4 linked regions of the Arabidopsis thaliana genome follow. The protein of the gene in region 3 interacts with the protein of the main gene of each other region in a pairwise test. Each region holds a gene or a part of one and is shown on either strand. Other genes may lie near its edges.

Evidence for each region.
Region 1: the proteins of UMAMIT17 (region 3) and MAPR3 interact in a protein complementation assay, tested with the Arabidopsis thaliana proteins (one large-scale study listed by BioGRID).
Region 2: the proteins of UMAMIT17 (region 3) and AT1G27290 interact in a protein complementation assay, tested with the Arabidopsis thaliana proteins (one large-scale study listed by BioGRID).
Region 4: the proteins of UMAMIT17 (region 3) and EMB3135 interact in a protein complementation assay, tested with the Arabidopsis thaliana proteins (one large-scale study listed by BioGRID).

What each region holds. Positions count from the first base shown.
Region 1 is NC_003074.8:18,127,767-18,132,128, forward strand, and holds MAPR3 (membrane-associated progesterone binding protein 3), read left to right. Parts: upstream 1-1,685; 5' UTR 1,686-1,902; coding exon 1,903-2,210; intron 2,211-3,193; coding exon 3,194-3,587; 3' UTR 3,588-3,826; downstream 3,827-4,362. Other genes in the region: AT3G48880 (RNI-like superfamily protein), read left to right, coding at 107-471, 678-1,242; AT3G48900 (single-stranded DNA endonuclease family protein), read left to right, coding at 4,088-4,155, 4,245-4,362.
Region 2 is NC_003070.9:9,479,469-9,483,539, forward strand, and holds AT1G27290 (uncharacterized protein), read left to right. Parts: upstream 1-1,936; 5' UTR 1,937-2,319; coding exon 2,320-2,731; intron 2,732-3,091; coding exon 3,092-3,108; 3' UTR 3,109-3,524; downstream 3,525-4,071. Other genes in the region: AT1G27300 (uncharacterized protein), read left to right, coding at 3,856-3,996.
Region 3 is NC_003075.7:5,243,087-5,248,940, forward strand, and holds UMAMIT17 (nodulin MtN21 /EamA-like transporter family protein), read left to right. Parts: upstream 1-1,778; 5' UTR 1,779-1,937; coding exon 1,938-2,125; intron 2,126-2,239; coding exon 2,240-2,302; intron 2,303-3,196; coding exon 3,197-3,313; intron 3,314-3,420; coding exon 3,421-3,670; intron 3,671-4,351; coding exon 4,352-4,510; intron 4,511-4,594; coding exon 4,595-4,746; intron 4,747-4,874; coding exon 4,875-5,067; 3' UTR 5,068-5,308; downstream 5,309-5,854.
Region 4 is NC_003076.8:3,829,521-3,833,692, forward strand, and holds EMB3135 (harpin-induced protein), read left to right. Parts: upstream 1-1,979; 5' UTR 1,980-2,249; coding exon 2,250-3,113; 3' UTR 3,114-3,631; downstream 3,632-4,172. Other genes in the region: AT5G11880 (Pyridoxal-dependent decarboxylase family protein), read right to left, coding at 1-422.

The sequences.
Region 1 (4,362 bases), on a different chromosome or scaffold from region 3:
GTTTCTTTTCCTACTTCTTAAAGTTGTGCTCTTTCCTATTTCTATAAGCTCTTGTGGATAACAACAGTTGATTAACGTTCTTATGCTTGTTTAGGGTACAACAAGAATGGAAGAAGAGTATGAGAGTCGTCGATTGAGGAGATGGGAAGAGTTGGACACTGACATCTTAGTAAGAATTTTCCAGAAGTTTAGCGTCTTTGAGTTGACTTCGGGATTAGCTCATGTTTGTAGAGGATGGAGAGCTGCTTGTTGCGATCCGATTCTTTGGAAGACGGTGGATTTGTCAAACATGAGATCTAGTTTCATCAAGATCCCATTAGAGCCTTATGTCTATGTGGAACGCCGATCTGATGAGGCCCTAACCCGCATCCTGAAACTCTCCATGAACCTTAGCGGAGGAAGCACGAGGACCTTGATTTTTCATTTCAACTTGTTCTTGAGTGATGATCAGCTTACTTACACCGCAGAAAGGTATGTCCTTTTCGTTCTTCCACTTATTTGTCTTCCAAATTGTTTCATCATGGCCGTAAACTATGGTTTTTTAGTCAAAAGTTGGTTCAGTTTTTGGTTTGGTTAAGTTCATGTACCCACTTTCAGTCAAAATTGCTGAATTACAATTAAGCTGAATCTCGCAAATGCTAAAAGTTGAAAAATTTGTTGTACTGAATATTTTGCAGGTGTCCAGGGTTGAGACGGGTCGTCCTACCGGCTTGGAACAGAATAAAGAAGACTGGTATATGCAAAGCGATAAGAATCTGGAAAGATCTAGAGTCACTAACAATGCCAAGCATCGCAAACCCGCCTTATCTCTTAACAGAAATTGCCAAGAACTGCAAGAATTTTAAAGAGCTGAAGATCATGGGTCCATTCGAGGTCTTCTTTGCAAACACGCTCATCACTTGCCTCCCAAACATCAAAACACTCAGCATCAGATGCTCGGCGATAAAGCGGGAAGCACTGATGAAAATCCTTGACGGATTACCAAGCCTTGAAGTGCTCAACATATCACACTCTCACCTAGTGGAGTACAGCGGTTGGCAGCCTCAGCAGAAGGTGATTGTTAGAGAGCTCGATAAGACGATAATGGAGAAAACAGCAAGGCTAAAGAAATTCTTGACTTGCATGGATCACAAGACGTGTGTGATGTGTCAGAGGACTGAAAACGATGAAGGGATTGTGAGATGGTACAAGTATGAGGAAGGAGACTGGAAGGTTGATGAAGTGAGTTCTCTTCATCTTTGATGTTTCTGCTGTGATCATTCTCTGTGAAGGACTTAACTTGTTATTGTTCTCATCTTTGACTGTTGAATTGTTTATTTCTTTGTGTTGTTTGTTTTGATTTGAATCGTATTATGTGTATATATCTGTAGGCTATGCCAATGAATGTCTGTAGTGATCAACTTTTGATCACCACCAACCTTGCACACCAAATAGGAAAATAAAACAATATTGTTACAATTATTTGTCTTGATATTAGCATTATTAGTCACATTTGTTTTGCAAATCATCTACCTTTTTTTTTTGGTCTATATCTTATTCTTCTTAGTTCTTACCTACCAGTCTTCTCCGGCGGCATTAACGACACCGTTTTATCGAGCTCAGCCACCACTAGTTAGGTAACGATATATATTCTTAAAAACGTTTAGAAAATTTCTATGTATGTTTCACACGAACAAAAAGAAAATATTTTTCAGACATCAACGGTCATTATGGACGACGACTGTTAAACAAAATCGTTTAAAATTCTTGTTGCGTAATTTGACCATTTTATTTTATTTTATACCAAAAATTGAAGATATTATATATATGTTTTAATTCGATCGCAAATAAATCTGAAAATTAAAACACAAAACGTTACTCTTCTCTCTCATTCTCTTTCGCTTCTCGATAGCTTCTCAAATCATGGTTCAGCAAATATGGGAGACGTTGAAGGAAACAATCACAGCTTACACTGGACTTTCTCCAGCTGCGTTTTTCACCGTACTTGCTCTCGCTTTCGCCGTTTACCAAGTCGTCTCCGGTTTCTTCGTTTCTCCTGAAGTTCACCGACCTCGTTCTTTGGAGGTTCAGCCTCAATCGGAGCCTCTTCCACCGCCGGTTCAGCTCGGAGAAATCACTGAGGAGGAGCTTAAGCTTTATGATGGCTCCGATTCTAAAAAGCCCCTTCTTATGGCGATCAAGGGCCAGATCTATGATGTTTCTCAGAGCAGGTATTTCTTGTGAAATCTTTACTTGTTCATTAAATTATGATTGAATCCAAATGATCACTAGTTAAATTACCAGTAATAAACGATTCAACCCAATAGTTTCGAGATTTGGGGTTTAGGTTAGTTAATCATGGTTGACTGTTTGATTTATAATCCGAAGTTTCCAATTACTATCTATCTTATGATTCTAGTATATCTACTGATGCTCGAACTCTAGTTTAAGTGATTCTTTATTGTAAAACTGAACACTTTTAGTAAATCTTTTTGATGAATATTCTCTCCTTTTTGTTCATAATCTTATGATGCTCTTTTTATTGCTTTTTGCATCTTAGTGTTTGTTTTTTCACTTCTTTTCTTGGAACAATACCATTAGAAGCACTGATACAATTGTATTGTATTCAAGTTATCGGAAAGATCTCTACTTTTTCTTATACTAGAAAAACCTGTATTTAGATTACATCTTGGATTAGTAGAGATTGATAACGTACAAACTCGTCAAAGGTTTGGCTTCTAATATTGCTATTGTGGCGAAAGAGATCGTTCACTGATTAATTATCCACATTTGCTTGCTATTTGTGTTCCATGACGTTTGTAAATTAAGTTTTGGCGAACATTGTTGGTATGTAACCATGCTGCAGTTGTCTAGATCCCTGACTTGTCAACTAGACAGTTCTTTTACATTCCAGTTACCGAAAACTTCGTTGTGGTAATTAGGTTTTGTGCTAGATGAAATAATCACTTCAGTGATCATACCGTTTTGCTTGTTCATAGTGGCGACAGACACAGACACACTCATCAACGCATATACATGTCGATGTATATGTATGCATAACTTTTAGTTTTTTTCTTGTACATAGTTCATCAGCTGTACTACATATCTAGATGAATCATATTCATATGTGCCAAGCTGTAGTTTTTCATTCTTCAAACTCTACTTAACTCTTACTGGTCGCTAATTTGCATGACCATCTGTTCTTTTTATGCAGGATGTTTTATGGACCAGGTGGGCCATATGCTCTGTTTGCAGGGAAAGATGCAAGCCGAGCTCTGGCAAAGATGTCATTTGAGGACCAAGACTTGACTGGAGACATCTCAGGTCTCGGTGCATTTGAGCTAGAGGCGTTACAAGACTGGGAGTACAAGTTCATGAGCAAGTATGTCAAAGTCGGAACCATTCAAAAGAAGGATGGAGAAGGCAAAGAAAGTTCAGAACCTTCCGAAGCAAAGACTGCCTCTGCGGAAGGTCTTTCTACAAACACTGGAGAAGAAGCTTCAGCAATTACCCATGATGAAACTTCTAGAAGCACAGGCGAGAAAATCGCGGAAACCACGGAGAAGAAAGATGTTGCAACTGATGATGATGATGCTGCAAAGGAGTAAAGTCAATGTAATGAGAGGCACAGTTTCTCTTGAGAAATTAGTGAGATTTTTCAGGGTTTAAGTATGAGTCGTATATAGCTCAATAAAAATGGTGACCTTGTGTGTACTTTTTGGATCTTGTATAATGACATCTAATTCTGGTTATGGAAGCTTCAAAATACATTATTTCTACAGTATTAATCGATAAACAGTTCTATAATTCAGGGTTTGTTCACTTGTTGTTTATGCTTAGTTCATATTTGACATCCTGCTATGTGCCTGGTAATTGAAGATGGTTCAATTCCTAAAATCGAAGCACCAACTTACATTTGATGGTAGGTCTGTTGCCGAACCGAAGTGAAGAATTTGCAATAATTTTGGTTTCGGTTTGGAACCTTCAAACCGACCGGTTTCGAATTATTATTGAACCAAATTTTCAAAATTCAAATATCTTGTCAAATCATTTTCTTCCCTCTTTCTGTCTCTGTCTCTCTCTCTCGCTCGATCTCGAAGGTGAAGCTATGGGAGTGAAGTATCTTTGGGATGTCTTGGAGCCTTGTAAGAAGACTTTCCCACTCGATCATCTTCAGTGAGTTGTTTCTTCGTCTCAATTTCTCTTTAATTTTTCTGGGTGTTTAAAAAGACCAAGTCTTTACGAGATCTTCGTAATCGCTGTAGAAACAAAAGGGTATGCGTGGATCTTTCGTGTTGGATGGTGGAATTGCATAAAGTGAACAAATCTTATTGCGCCACTAAAGAAAAAGTTTATCTTCGAGGATTTTTTCATCGTCTCCGA
Region 2 (4,071 bases), on a different chromosome or scaffold from region 3:
TTGCTCGTTGGGATTCACCAATTCTCTCGCTGATACATCAGTGTTTGTTTACATCAACGACATCCAAATCGTCTACTGCTTGGTCTATGTTGATGACATTATTGTCACGGGAAGTAGTGATGCGTTGGTAATGGCTTTCATCACCGCTCTTTCTCGGCGATTCTCGTTGAAGGACCCGACGGATTTGGTATATTTTCTTGGTATAGAGGCAACAAGAACCTCACAAGGTCTTCATTTGATGCAGCATAAATATGTTTATGACTTGTTGTCTAGGATGAAGATGTTAGATGCCAAACCGGTGTCCACACCAATGGCGACACATCCTAAACTTTCACTCTACTCTGGCATTGCTCTAGACGAACCCGGAGAATACAGGACAGTGATCGGCAGCTTGCAATACTTGGCGTTTACACGACCGGATATTGCGTATGCTGTGAATCGATTATCACAATTTATGCATCGTCCCACAGACATTCATTGGCAGGCTGCAAAACGCGTCCTTCGATATCTTGCGGGAACTGCTACTCATGGTATATTACTTCGCTCAAACTCTCCTCTCTCGCTTCATGCATTCTCCGATGCTGATTGGGCTGGGGACAATGACGATTTTGTTTCCACCAATGCATATATTGTGTATCTTGGCTCTACACCCATAGCTTGGAGCTCGAAGAAACAAAAGGGAGTCGCACGTTCTTCCACCGAGGCCGAGTACAGGGCTGTTGCAAACACAACTTCAGAAATTAGATGGGTATGCTCTCTTCTTACTGAGTTAGGCATCACATTACCAAAGATGCCTGTGATATATTGTGACAATGTTGGTGCCACATATCTCTCTGCAAATCCGGTTTTCCATTCAAGAATGAAGCATCTAGCATTGGACTATCATTTTATTCGCGACAATGTGAGTGCCGGTGCACTACGAGTCTCTCACATATCAACACATGACCAACTTGCCGATGCTCTAACCAAGCCATTGCCTCGTCAACACTTTCTTCAGTTTTCAAGCAAGATTGGAGTGAGCAAACTCCCTCCATCTTGAGGGGGCATGTAGAGTATATAAGTAAAGGATAGTTTAGTAAATCATTAATCCCTAATTCATTCTAATGTAGTCCCTATATATATTGTAATTATATCATCTAATGAATTATTCAGCCTTCAATACTATAGTTTGATCATGTGCTTACTTTCCCTTCATTTGCGATACTTCAAGGTTCTTGCTGCCACTGTTTCTTTGAATGCGTCACATGTTTGAACATGTGTGTTCTTTTTGGATCGAAGCTTAGCTCTTTAGATGGAACTGAATAAGTAAAAGAGGTCACTGGATAAGCTCTGTTACTAGAATAATAGGAGGGCTTCTGCTTCACATTTGTAATCCTCTCTCTTTCTCTGAATTGATGTTGCAATTGCTTGTCATCAGTATCTGTATTTCCATAGATAACTGAACTCATTAAAGGGCAACCGAAGCTGCTTCGTGGTTTATGTTTCTTCTTTGTGGGCTATTTTGCTTTGCACTTTCACTTGTTTCTTAGTTTTGGTTTGATTTTTCATACTGGGCCCTGAGCAAAACAATTTTAGTTATATGACTTGTGAAACTTAAATGGGTTTTAATCGAATGGTAACTTCATCTAATTTGTTTGAATAATTCATCATGGACCTTAATGATAATATCTTGAGTCTACTAATCATTTCACAAATCCTTTCATTTTCCAACAGCAAGTAGCCTGATTTTTGAACCTCAGCGATAGACAGCTTAAAGTGCGGTCATTCTCGCAAAAAGCTATCAGTCTTTATTTGATTCACGAACATTATACACGAAAGTCAAAATTAAATAACCAAAAAAATTAAACAAAAAGCAAACAAGAAAACGACTTCTCTGGTATGATTGGAACAAATTTAATAGAGAGAGAGGTTAGATAAGAATGTGGTAGAAGATAAGACCCAACTACGCGTCATAACTGGGTCCCATCTTTGTCTCTTTCCCTTCTTCACTCGCCAACCCCATCGCGTGTCCCCACGCTCCTTCCCTTTACTTTTTCTCGTTATCCAAAACACGACGATTCTTCATTTTAGATTTTTTTCATTAATAAAAAAAAAAAAGTCTTTTATTGCAGAAATTTCGATCGTTTTTGTTGTGTGTACAGAGAGATTATCGTGTTTTGTTGGCAATCGCCATTAAACCTTCTTCCCTCTAACCCAATCAAATTTGCGGCTCTTTCTTTTATCTTCTCGCCTCGGTTTTAGCAAACCCTTTAGTTATCTTCTTCCTCAAGCAATTTTTCTTTTGGATTAGATTGGTGTTTTCTTTTGGTTTGTGTGGTGATGATGAGAAGGCAACGAGATGAACAACAATCTAGGGTTTTCTACGATCTATCATCTCTTGTTTTGAATCTTCTCCGTTCTCCTCCTATGCCGATTTCTTTACCTGATCATTTCCCCGATCCGCCCGCTAGAATTCGTCCTCCCTTTTCTTCGCATCGTTTTTCGTCTTCTTCGCCTTCTTTGGCTCATATTTCTCCGTCTGGATTCGCGTCGTTGCTGCTTGGTATATCTGTGGCTCTTATGCTATGTGGATCTGTGACTTTCTTCATCGGGTTTCTCTTGATGCCTTGGGTTCTTGCTCTGATTTTGGTTTTCTATGTCGCTGGCATCGTTTCTGCCATTTCTATGGTCGGGAGGTCGATTCTCTGTTACGTCTTGACGCCACCTTCTCCTTCCGGAAAGGAGATTTCTGGTAATTTTGTTGAATTTTAGGGTTAAGTTTGTCAAATTGGTTTCAATGATTCAAGCTTTCTACTTTCGTCTCGGATCTGTTTAGATTTTAACCAAAGTTTCCTTATTGATCATCTAGAAATGATTCCACTGGGTTTTGGTTCTGTCCTTATTTTGATAGAAATGGAGGTTCGAATTAGGGTTTTATTGAAAAGCACACCGATGTTTGTTCTGTCTTTGACTGAAACGATATTGTTCTTTTGTTTCCTCGTGGATCATATTATTCATGTTCACATTACTTTTGTTGTCTGAAATTAAACCTATGTTTGTATTAGTTTCATGTTCTTGCAATAATGTTTGTGTTTGACATGTCTATTCGCAGAATGGAAGCTTCTGTGAAATGATTAAACAACAGAGGTGAAGAATCTATACATCATCCGGAAGCAGAGCAGAGCGAAGCAGAACAAAAAAAAGAAGAAGAAGGATTGATTATATAAACACATATATCCGATAGAGTTTTTCTATGTTCTTTATCTGTATTTTGTTGGGGGGGTTTGGGAAAATCATGTGGATATCAGGGAGTTTTATATTTCTTTACATTTCGAAAAAAGAATTTTTCTATTTAACTACTGTTAGAAATAGAGAAGCCTTGTTATTTGTGCTTTCATGTATGTCGTTTTTATGTAACATGATCATTTCTTAAAGCATACAAAAAGATTTTAGGATTTCTGTTGCACTTCTTTCGATTTCCTTGCATTTTCGAAACACTCTGTGTTGATATCTCTTCCTTTAAATCTTCTTACAATATTTGCTCATTCTTGATCTCTTTTATGGTTTTAAATAATTGTCTCTTCAAGTTCACACGGAATCTAGTGTGAATCGAGGTTTAGTCGTGCAGAGTTGTGTGTGTTATTACATGTTTTATTATTGTTTAAGTATATTTATTTAGTGGAGGACTATACGCTATTTGCACATCTCAATGTCAAATTGCTCAAAAATGGTAGAGGTGCCGTGCCGTCAATAGATGTCACGTGTCCTGACTTGCCTTCTCAATACAAACAAAAATACTCTCTACCTAAAAAAACACAATAAACAACAAACGCATCTTTGGAGCGGCGGTGAGATTAGAGAAGAAGGGTTTGTGAAATGGAGTCCAGTGAGGATGTGGAGAATCTGAGTAGAGCTATTGAGAAGCTTCTTCATGAGAAGAGGAAGAGAGAAGCTTCTGGTGACGCCTTCATTGAAGACGCTGATGATCAGCTTTTCCTCTCTAGCCTTATCTCTCAGGTACTTTACCATCGCTCTGTTTTCTCCTTTGTTGATTTATCTGATGTTGCAGCCAATCAACTTTCTGGGTATATG
Region 3 (5,854 bases):
TATCCATTTCTCTTCTTTTATGTACTTTGGTTTTTGTTATTCGAAAGATTTGTTTTTTTTTTCTTTCTCTTTACTAATATGCATATCATTTAAACATAATTTAATCATACCACTTGAATCTAGCAGCATATTGAGGAAAGAGGATTCTGATTCGAAACATATCATTAGGTCTGGTATTTCATCACTAATGGATAAGGGTATCTGATCTTAGTTGTTCAAATAAAAAGGGTTAATAAAAAGAAAATAATATTTGTATCCAATGATAAAAGTTAGATGTAAAGTTAAAAATAGCAATGCAAACATAATATAATAGTGGATCTATTTCTAAAAACGGTTAAATAATTTTCGTTATGGGACTAATTATTTTTTGTTACGGGACTAATTATTTTTCGTAATTATTTTTTACGATAGAGGACAAAACTTATTCTTTGTTACGGGACTAATTCTTTTTCCGTAACATATATATTTTTTTATATGGGATTGTCCAAATAATTAAGTGGAGATTCGAGTTTAAATTTTTGATTAAGATTTTCATAACAATTTGGAATTATGAAATATTGATTTTGTCTTATTTCCATTTTCTTAATTTTTTCTTCATGATTGTTGTTTACCTATTTTCTCAACTTTTTTTTAATTTACGTGACTCAAGAAAAAAAAAATAACTACGTTGTTATTTCTCTAGAATCTAAAAAAAATAACAAATATATAAAAATTCAAGAAATGAACATGAGTGTAGGAGACACATTTCGATTACAAATGAAACTGAACTTGACCAAAGAGAAAAAAGTAAGGCATGAAGAGTAAGACATAACTAATATGATTTTGAGTTAACCTCTAAGGTATTTCTAAACCCAAAAGGTAATTATAGACAAGTTACATGGCCTTGTTCATGTTCAAGGGCTAGGCAAACTAGATTTATAAGACCAGTCATCAGCAAGTCTCTTCTATATATATCAGATTTACGTTGCAAACTAAAGGTGGCATTAACCATCGAGTTTTTTTGACCTTTTTATTGTTCGACCCAAATAAATATACAATCGGTGTAAAGGACCTTAAAAGTTAAATAAAATGTTTAGTGTACACAATTCACCTGAACTAAGTTACAAATTGCTAAGTGATTAAGATTTCCCTAACCTAAAATACACGTGGTGTTAAGATTTATATAAGTTTTGCGTAGGTTTCAAATTCTATGTTTGTAACCTAAACTTTTTTTATTATCTATGAAATATTTACAATTTAGCAAAAACAATCGAATAAGATACACGTTGCATTAAGTGATTCGCTTAGTTGTGAATGATAAATGTTTTTTTCTAACATTGGGCTTTGGAAAATTTTATTAATAAATATTAGGGGAGAGTTAACTTCACTCATTGCATTTTTTTTTTCTTTTGGGAAAAGTCTTCACTCACTGCATAAGATATATGTATTGGAAGAAAGAGAGCGAGAGTTGAATTGTACAAAATGTTTTTCGTTTTTTGGCCGTAATGTGTAAAATAAATTGTCATCAGTTAAATAAAGAAAACAAGAACAATAAATGATCCAAATTTTATCATTGTTTCTACAAATAAATGACAAACATAAAGCCATTTCGTGCACACACTCTTAAAATTATTATATTCCATTAAGCAAAATTTTCCATACACATATATATGCTTTTTTTTTTTGTTTTGTTACTCGTATCTTTCCATTATAATATTCGAGAAGATACGTAGACGTATTATTGAGCGAACAAAATAATGCTATTTTTCCTTTTATAAATCTAACTTTTGATGACTATAAGAAGGACCATTTGCCATTTGGTTTTGTATGCTCAAACAAGTAACTCTTAGTCGTTCACGAAACATCTCATATATATCTAGAGAGAGAAACAAAACAATATATAGAGAATCTATATAGAATCATATAAGTGGTACATACCTCTCAAATCGAGGAAGAAAATGAAAGGAGGAAAGATGGATAAATTGAAGCCAATAATAGCAATCATATCACTCCAATTTGGATATGCAGGCATGTACATCATTACTATGGTCTCCTTCAAGCATGGCATGAACCATTGGATCCTTGCTACTTACCGACATGTCGTCGCCACAATTGTCATAGCTCCTTTTGCTCTCATTCTCGAGAGGTATGTATGTTAAATGATGTGTATGCATGCTTGTGTTGGTTCTTATATCTAGAGCCATGGTAGCTATTTATAAATGTAAGTGTCTCTGTATTAATTCATCGCATACTTTTTCAGGAAAATAAGGCCTAAGATGACATGGCCATTGTTCCTTAGGATTCTTGCCCTTGGATTCCTAGAGTAAGCTCCTCATACATATATCTTATCCCCTTTTCATGTCCATATATATATGCAAACACACATACACACACACATAAATATACGTGTATATATATATAGATATAAATTTATACGATGTTGGGGGTTTTCTATTTTATAAAGAATAATTCTTATTTTGCATTCCAAATATTTGAGGGTTTTGAGGACCTAAGATGAATGAAACAAAATGAGACTTTGATACATTTTCCCTGATAAAATGTGTCGTAAATTTATGAAATGATTAGAGATAATTAACGATTTCTTTTTAATTTATGAAATAACCAAAAATAATCACACAAAAGTACAAATTTCACCAATATAAAAATTGAAAGTTTTTAGAAATCGATTAATAATAAACTATTTTTTTTTTAATAAAAAATTTAAAATTTATTCGAAAAAACTGTATTACATCAGATGCAGCGTTTGCGTTAAGAATTTCTTAGATACAAACAAACAAGGATCAAAATAAAGATTTAATGTGTAGAGCTTCATTAGCGGGAACCAAACCAGAGTAATAAACTATTTCGATATAAGAATTAATTCAATAATTTTAACAAATCTTTTCATATCGATGAATCCTTAAATCATATAAAGGTAAAATATACCATATAAAAGAATATTATATACGAAGAATCTATACGAAAAGATTCTAGTCGTTTGGCAAAAATAAAAAAAGATTCTAGTCGTGAATATTCTTGATTAGATCATCACCCATTGCCGTCTTCTCATAGCTTTGTTTTCCTTTATCTTTTAATTTAACTTGAAGAGAATGATAACGAAAAAAAAAGAAAGAATATGATTGGTTAAGCAGAAGATGATGCAACATTAAAGCATATGATTAATAAATTTGTAAATGTTGGTTGTTTGTCTATTCAGACCACTTTTGGACCAGAACTTGTACTACATAGGAATGAAAGCCACGTCAGCAACGTATAGTTCTGCCTTTGTTAATGCACTTCCCGCCATTACCTTCATAATGGCTGTCATTTTCAGGTAAGTTTGCTTCTAATTACCAAAGACCAATCATATTAATCATTCTCTATATTTTTTACGTCATAATTTTATAGTTATTAATTCAAAAATTGCTTAAATTTTATTAGGATAGAAACTGTAAATTTGAAGAAGACACGAAGTCTTGCAAAAGTGATTGGAACAGCAATAACTGTGGGAGGAGCAATGGTTATGACGTTGTACAAAGGTCCAGCCATTGAGCTCTTTAAGACTGCTCATAGCTCTTTACACGGCGGCTCCTCGGGCACCTCCTCCGAGACCACTGATCAGAATTGGGTTACCGGAACTCTAGCGGTTATGGGTAGTATCACCACTTGGGCAGGTTTCTTCATTCTACAAGTAAGCAAACATTAGTTACTTATATTCCAAATTGGTGTGTTTACATTAATTAGTAAATGTGTTATACCATACTATTATAGTTATTCTGATCACTATAACATAACAAAGAGTGGTACCAAATCTCCATTTTGACTAGGCCTAGGCAAAATAGCCAAACCCGAAGAACCAAACCGAACCCGACCCGAAAAACCCGATCTGAATTCGAACCCAAAACTTTAAAATACCCGAACGGATCCTAAACTTCAAAACCCGAACCCGATCCGAACCTAAATACTCGATCAAGTACCCGAACATATCCGAAATATATATACATAGAAAATAATTCATTAGTAATAATCACATTTACAACAACTTAAATGTCTAAAATATTTGGATTCTAAAATATATATACATAAAACATTTACAATAGAAAATTTTGAGTTTTGGATACTCCGGGTTTACCCGAATCCGAACCCGAAAAACCCGATCCGAATCCGAACCGAACCCGAAGTCTTAAAATACCCGAACGGATCTTAGATTTCTAAATCCGAAAAACCCGATCCGAACCCGAACCGAATACCCGAACGCCCATGCCTAATTTTGACTACAAAGTGGCAATAGAAAAAAAACATATATAATTTACAAATTAGTCTATGCTTTAAGATAAGATTTTACATGGTACTAAGATTGAAATATTTTCAGTCGTTCACGTTGAAAAAATATCCGGCTGAGCTTTCGCTAGTGATGTGGATTTGTGCCATGGGAACGGTCTTAAACACCATCGCTTCGCTCATAATGGTGCGCGACGTAAGCGCATGGAAAGTCGGTATGGACTCGGGCACACTTGCGGCTGTTTACTCCGTAAGTACTTTTGACCGTTTACTACTAAACCAATCTTTTTATAATCATGGTCATAACTCACAAGTGTTAAGTACTTAATATCAGGGAGTGGTTTGTTCGGGTATGGCGTATTACATACAAAGCATTGTGATTAGGGAACGAGGTCCGGTTTTTACGACATCGTTTAGTCCTATGTGCATGATCATCACTGCTTTCCTCGGCGTGTTAGTTTTGGCTGAAAAGATTCACCTTGGAAGGTAAATATACATTATAGAATTAATGATATTCTAATCATATACAACTTACACGGCTATGATCAATAGTACAAACAACTATATTGCATTCATTAGGTAACTAATTAGTTGTTTAATTTTGTATATTGCAGTATAATCGGGGCGATTTTTATCGTCTTCGGGCTATATAGCGTTGTGTGGGGGAAAGCTAAGGACGAAGTGATATCGGTGGAAGAGAAAATAGGAATGCAGGAGCTGCCGATCACCAACACATCGACAAAAGTGGAGGGTGGTGGTATTACCAGTGAAGTAAACGAAGGTGTGACTAACAATACCCAAGTGTAACCCCAATAAAGCAATTAAGAGAAATTTTTGAAGACCAAATTTCCAAGAAAGGAAATTTGTTTGTCTTTCTTGTTTGTTTTATGCTGTTTACATTTTCAAGTTATCTGTGTTGATTCAACTATATAACGAATGTTGTATATTTTCTGTAATTGTCGAATATCACGGAAGTTGAAGAAATTTCAATTTGGTAATTTTTGTTTTTGTTTGAATTTACAATATATGCACCAAAAAAGACGGTTTTACAATAAATATTGCAACATTAAGCCGATAAATTTTGAAAACATAATAGACCAAAACGTATAACATATAACTAGTTTAATTTGAAATAAATGTCGATCGTTAGACGCCAAATATAAGATTATTGTTGATAAGTATCTTTCAAAACCTATGAACATGAAAAAGTTAGTTGAAATTGTGATTACGAAATATTTAGGAAGATTTACAAGTTAAAGTTCAAGAAATGTTAGGACTAGAACATATTATTCATGAAGGTCAAATTTAGGTTGAGAGAGATTAAGAATTTAGTAGCCGAAATAGTCTATCAAGAAGCATTTGTTATTCGATCTATGTTAACGATTACGAGTTTCCTCGTTGTAACTCAATTTTGTGTGTAGTTAATGTATGATATATTTGTCGTGAATTATTCGATCAAAGACGGAATTGGAAAATGAGTTAGGGCCAAATGAAGCAAACATATTGGGGAAAAAACTGACAAAATCATATCCCTTCTAAATTTCAGATGAAAACTAATTCAGTGTTATAATGCAAGCCTTAAAATTCATATCCT
Region 4 (4,172 bases), on a different chromosome or scaffold from region 3:
AAATGCTCCAAAATCTTGAGATTGTTATTAGCTTTAATAGCGTAACCAATAACAGATCTCACTCCTTCCAAAGCCTCTTTATAAGCCTCAAGGTTTCTCGTGATCTGAGGTTTGCTATATAAGTAAAAGGGTCGTTTCTCGACTGTTTCCATGATATCTTGAACCTTGGTTCCTTCGCAATAGAGAAACCCATCTGATGATTTCTTGAAACAGTGGTCGAAAGAGGAAGCAGATTCTTTCGTGAGGGTTTTGGTGGAGTTTTGGGAAACGGCGGCTTTGACGGAGAGGCGTTTAAGTGGCTTCAATGTTGACTTGAGAGACAAAAATGGGATTCTTGAGAGTGAAGTCTGATTCAATTGGTACTGATTTAGGGTTCCGCGGATTGATGAAGGTTGGGAGAGAAATTGAGTAACTGCCGCCATGGCTGGAGGATTTTTGTTAGGTGTGCGACTGTTACAGTAACACTGAAGGGTTTAGAAAAAAAAAGTCAACAAGTTTAAGAGTAGTTCCTGTCGGGTCCGGTTTTAGATATCCGACAATATCGAACCGGTGGTTATAGTCGAACCGATGGTTAAAAGAAGAAAGAACAAAGTCGATTTTAACTTCTTTTGGATATGGTTTTTGTCCTTGGGGGATAGTTTCTGCTAGTGTTTGTTTTGTTCGGTTGTGTTAGTTGTGTGTTGTAATAATCTTGATGCTTAAGGGGTCACCTAAAGCAGTCATGGAAATCTAGCCCTATCTATAAAAATTTGCCATTTCTCATCACCTACCAATACTTCTATTTGTTCGTATTATGCGGATATTCAGAGGATAATGTAAAACATTTTGTTGAATGCTAACGATGAAGTGCTCTATCTAGCCGTGCACGTTGTGGAGAAGTTATGTTTTAGAATCCACATTTGTTGAAGTTATGCTTATCATACTCTCTTAATTATCTATATCTATTACAAAGAGCAAGGAATGTTCTTAGTTAGGATTTGTTTTGTTTGGCAACCATTGCTTCTGGTTATTTGTGCTCTGCCTCCTTTGTAAGTTAGGATTTGTTTTATTCTTACAACTTTGCTTCTCTCGTCATACTATATAATCTCTGACTATGTATGTAATTGCATTCATGTCGATGGTTGTGGGATGTATATTTAGGTGTTTGACTGTAAGACGTTAAAAACAAACTTTACCATAAGTTATTGGGATGTCTAGACACTTTTATGGTTTGGTGAAGTAGGCTCAATGTTTTGCCCTTTATGTTTCCATTGTTGATGTTTATGTACCTTGCTGGTTGGAACCACTTGTGGATGTTTCCGACAATGCTTCTCTGTAATGCAGTTATCTTTTAATGAAATGTGATCGATCTTGAGTGTTATTTATTTTTATTTTTTTAAAGACTTTATGGTGTGGACACTTGACCGGGTGATAATTGGTAACTATACTACATAGTTAGAGAGCTCTTGAATTATTAATCACGCTAAATCTTGGGAATTGAGAGCTCGGAAGCAAAGGTTATTAACAAAATTCAAAGCAGAGCAGCATTGCCGATGAAATAATTATTGACTTGGGATTTACTCTCTGAAGTCTGAACCAAATCGAGATTATTCTAATTATATTTTTAATTTCGGATCCCTAATCTATTAATACTCCAATATCTGCACTCATTTAATTATTTCCTCTTTTTTTAACCTGCACTGACTTAAATTCAAACTTATTTCAATTGCGTGCACACTTTAGTGAACTACTACCACTATCACTATATGTGTCGGTGGATTATTATTTCCGTCATTTTGATATTTAATTACATCTTTAATTGTTACTCTTTTTTGCCCATTCTTCTTCTTCATTTGATTACATTATACTCTATTGTGAATTACTAAATTCTGAAAACAAGAAAAATTTGAGTACACAGGACACATCTTAGTATTACTCGTTACTAAAATACTACACGTGTAAATAATTTTTTCAGAAATAAATGGGGCCACTTTGTAAGTAATAAATCAGCTTACATTAATTATTTTACCACCCAATAAAAAGATTCCACAGACTTGGCATGGAAGTCATGAACATTCACAAAAATCTAAGAAAAACTGAAAACCGAAAAAAAAACAAATTATTAAAAAGCAATAAATAAATAAACTCAGAAAAAAAAGCTATTAAGATTCCACAAAAACTCTGTATTGTCTCTTTCTCTCTCACTATCTCTCTCTCTTTTGTGAGCTCAGATCTGACCAGAGAGAAAGAAACAACCGGAGAAGAAGAAGATGACTGACCGAGTCTTCCCAGCTTCCAAACCACCAACCGCCACTAATGGAGCTCCACCAGTTGGTTCCATACCACCTCCTCCAGCTCCGGCGACTGTAACCAGCAACGGAACAACAAACGGAATGGCTAATCAGAAACCTCAAGTCTACATTCCAGCTAACCGTCCGGTTTACCGTCCACAGCCTTACAGTCGCCGTCATCACCACCAATCTCGACCAAGCTGCCGACGAATTTGCTGTTGTTGCTGTTTCTGGTCGATTCTGATAATTCTGATCTTAGCTCTCATGACTGCAATCGCCGCCACCGCGATGTACGTGATCTACCACCCTCGTCCGCCGTCGTTCTCCGTCCCGTCAATAAGAATCAGCCGCGTGAACCTAACAACCTCCTCTGATTCCTCCGTCTCTCATCTCTCTTCCTTCTTCAACTTCACTCTAATCTCAGAGAATCCAAACCAACACCTCTCTTTCTCTTACGATCCTTTCACCGTCACCGTTAATTCAGCTAAATCCGGTACGATGCTCGGTAACGGAACTGTTCCTGCTTTCTTCAGCGATAACGGTAACAAAACTTCGTTTCACGGCGTGATCGCTACGTCTACAGCGGCGCGTGAGTTAGATCCGGATGAAGCTAAGCATCTGAGATCAGATCTGACGCGCGCGCGTGTAGGATATGAGATCGAGATGAGAACTAAAGTGAAGATGATAATGGGGAAGCTGAAGAGTGAAGGAGTAGAGATCAAAGTGACATGTGAAGGATTTGAAGGAACTATACCAAAAGGTAAAACTCCAATTGTAGCTACTTCTAAAAAAACTAAGTGTAAGTCTGATCTTAGTGTCAAGGTCTGGAAATGGAGTTTCTAGAGGGAATTTTGATAATTTCACAATTGAAATTTTCTATATAATCTTCTTCTTTTTTTCTTCTGGATTTTGTGAAACTTTTGGAATGATCCAAAAGGAGATTTCTTCAGTTGTTAGTTAAAAAATTTCAGAGAAGAGTCAGAGAGATAAGGTATTGTCAAGTAGAAGAAGGCCAGAGAATTCACGGCTTCTAAAAAAATTTCTTGGATTTTTGTTTTGTTTGGAACTTTCTTACTTGAATTTATATTTAATGGATACAGAAATATAAATGTAATACTTGTAACGAATGGAGTACTAAAAAGCTGGAGATTGCAGTGACTGCGTGATAGTGAGCATTAAAGTGAGATCGTAGTAGTAATAAACAGAACCTTAAAAATGGAAAAGATGCGTGGGGTTTGTGAGGAGAACAATGAAGAACACGAGAGATGTGTTAAATGTTAGATGTTGAACCATCTATCGCATTATACAACACCATTTAAGAGAAACGTGAATCGTCTTTAGTACTCTATAAAGCAAGCATATATTCTAGCAGTTGCATGTTATAAAATTAATACAGATCGATCACTCAATTCATGAATATGGTTTGATATAAACATTAAATTAAATGTCATGCTGTCATAAAAGATGAATTATATGGTTCATTTATCTAAGAAACTTTTTATTAACTAAGTAAGTAAAAGTTTGAAGAGGTCATTTGCAAGTGACTCCGACCAGGGATAGACTCCTGAAATCTTATCCAACTATGGACGACGACTTCATGTCGGTGTGTCCAAAAATGAGGAAAAGGAATCTGCCCAAGGGACAAATGGCATTACCCGAAACGGCAAAGAAGAACCGCAGGAAAAAAAGTTGACAATAACGTATGAGGTGTGACTGAAAAAGAAAAACTTGTAGTTTGGTTTATGACGTAAATGAATAATTTGGAAATGACAATAAGTCATCATATCTAATTTAGTGCATGACCTCCAACGTCGGCATATATTTGAGTCGGTGACCGGATATCCAGTACAAAGTAAAGTACAAACCAAAAAGAAAGACAAGACAATAAAATGGGTAAAGAAG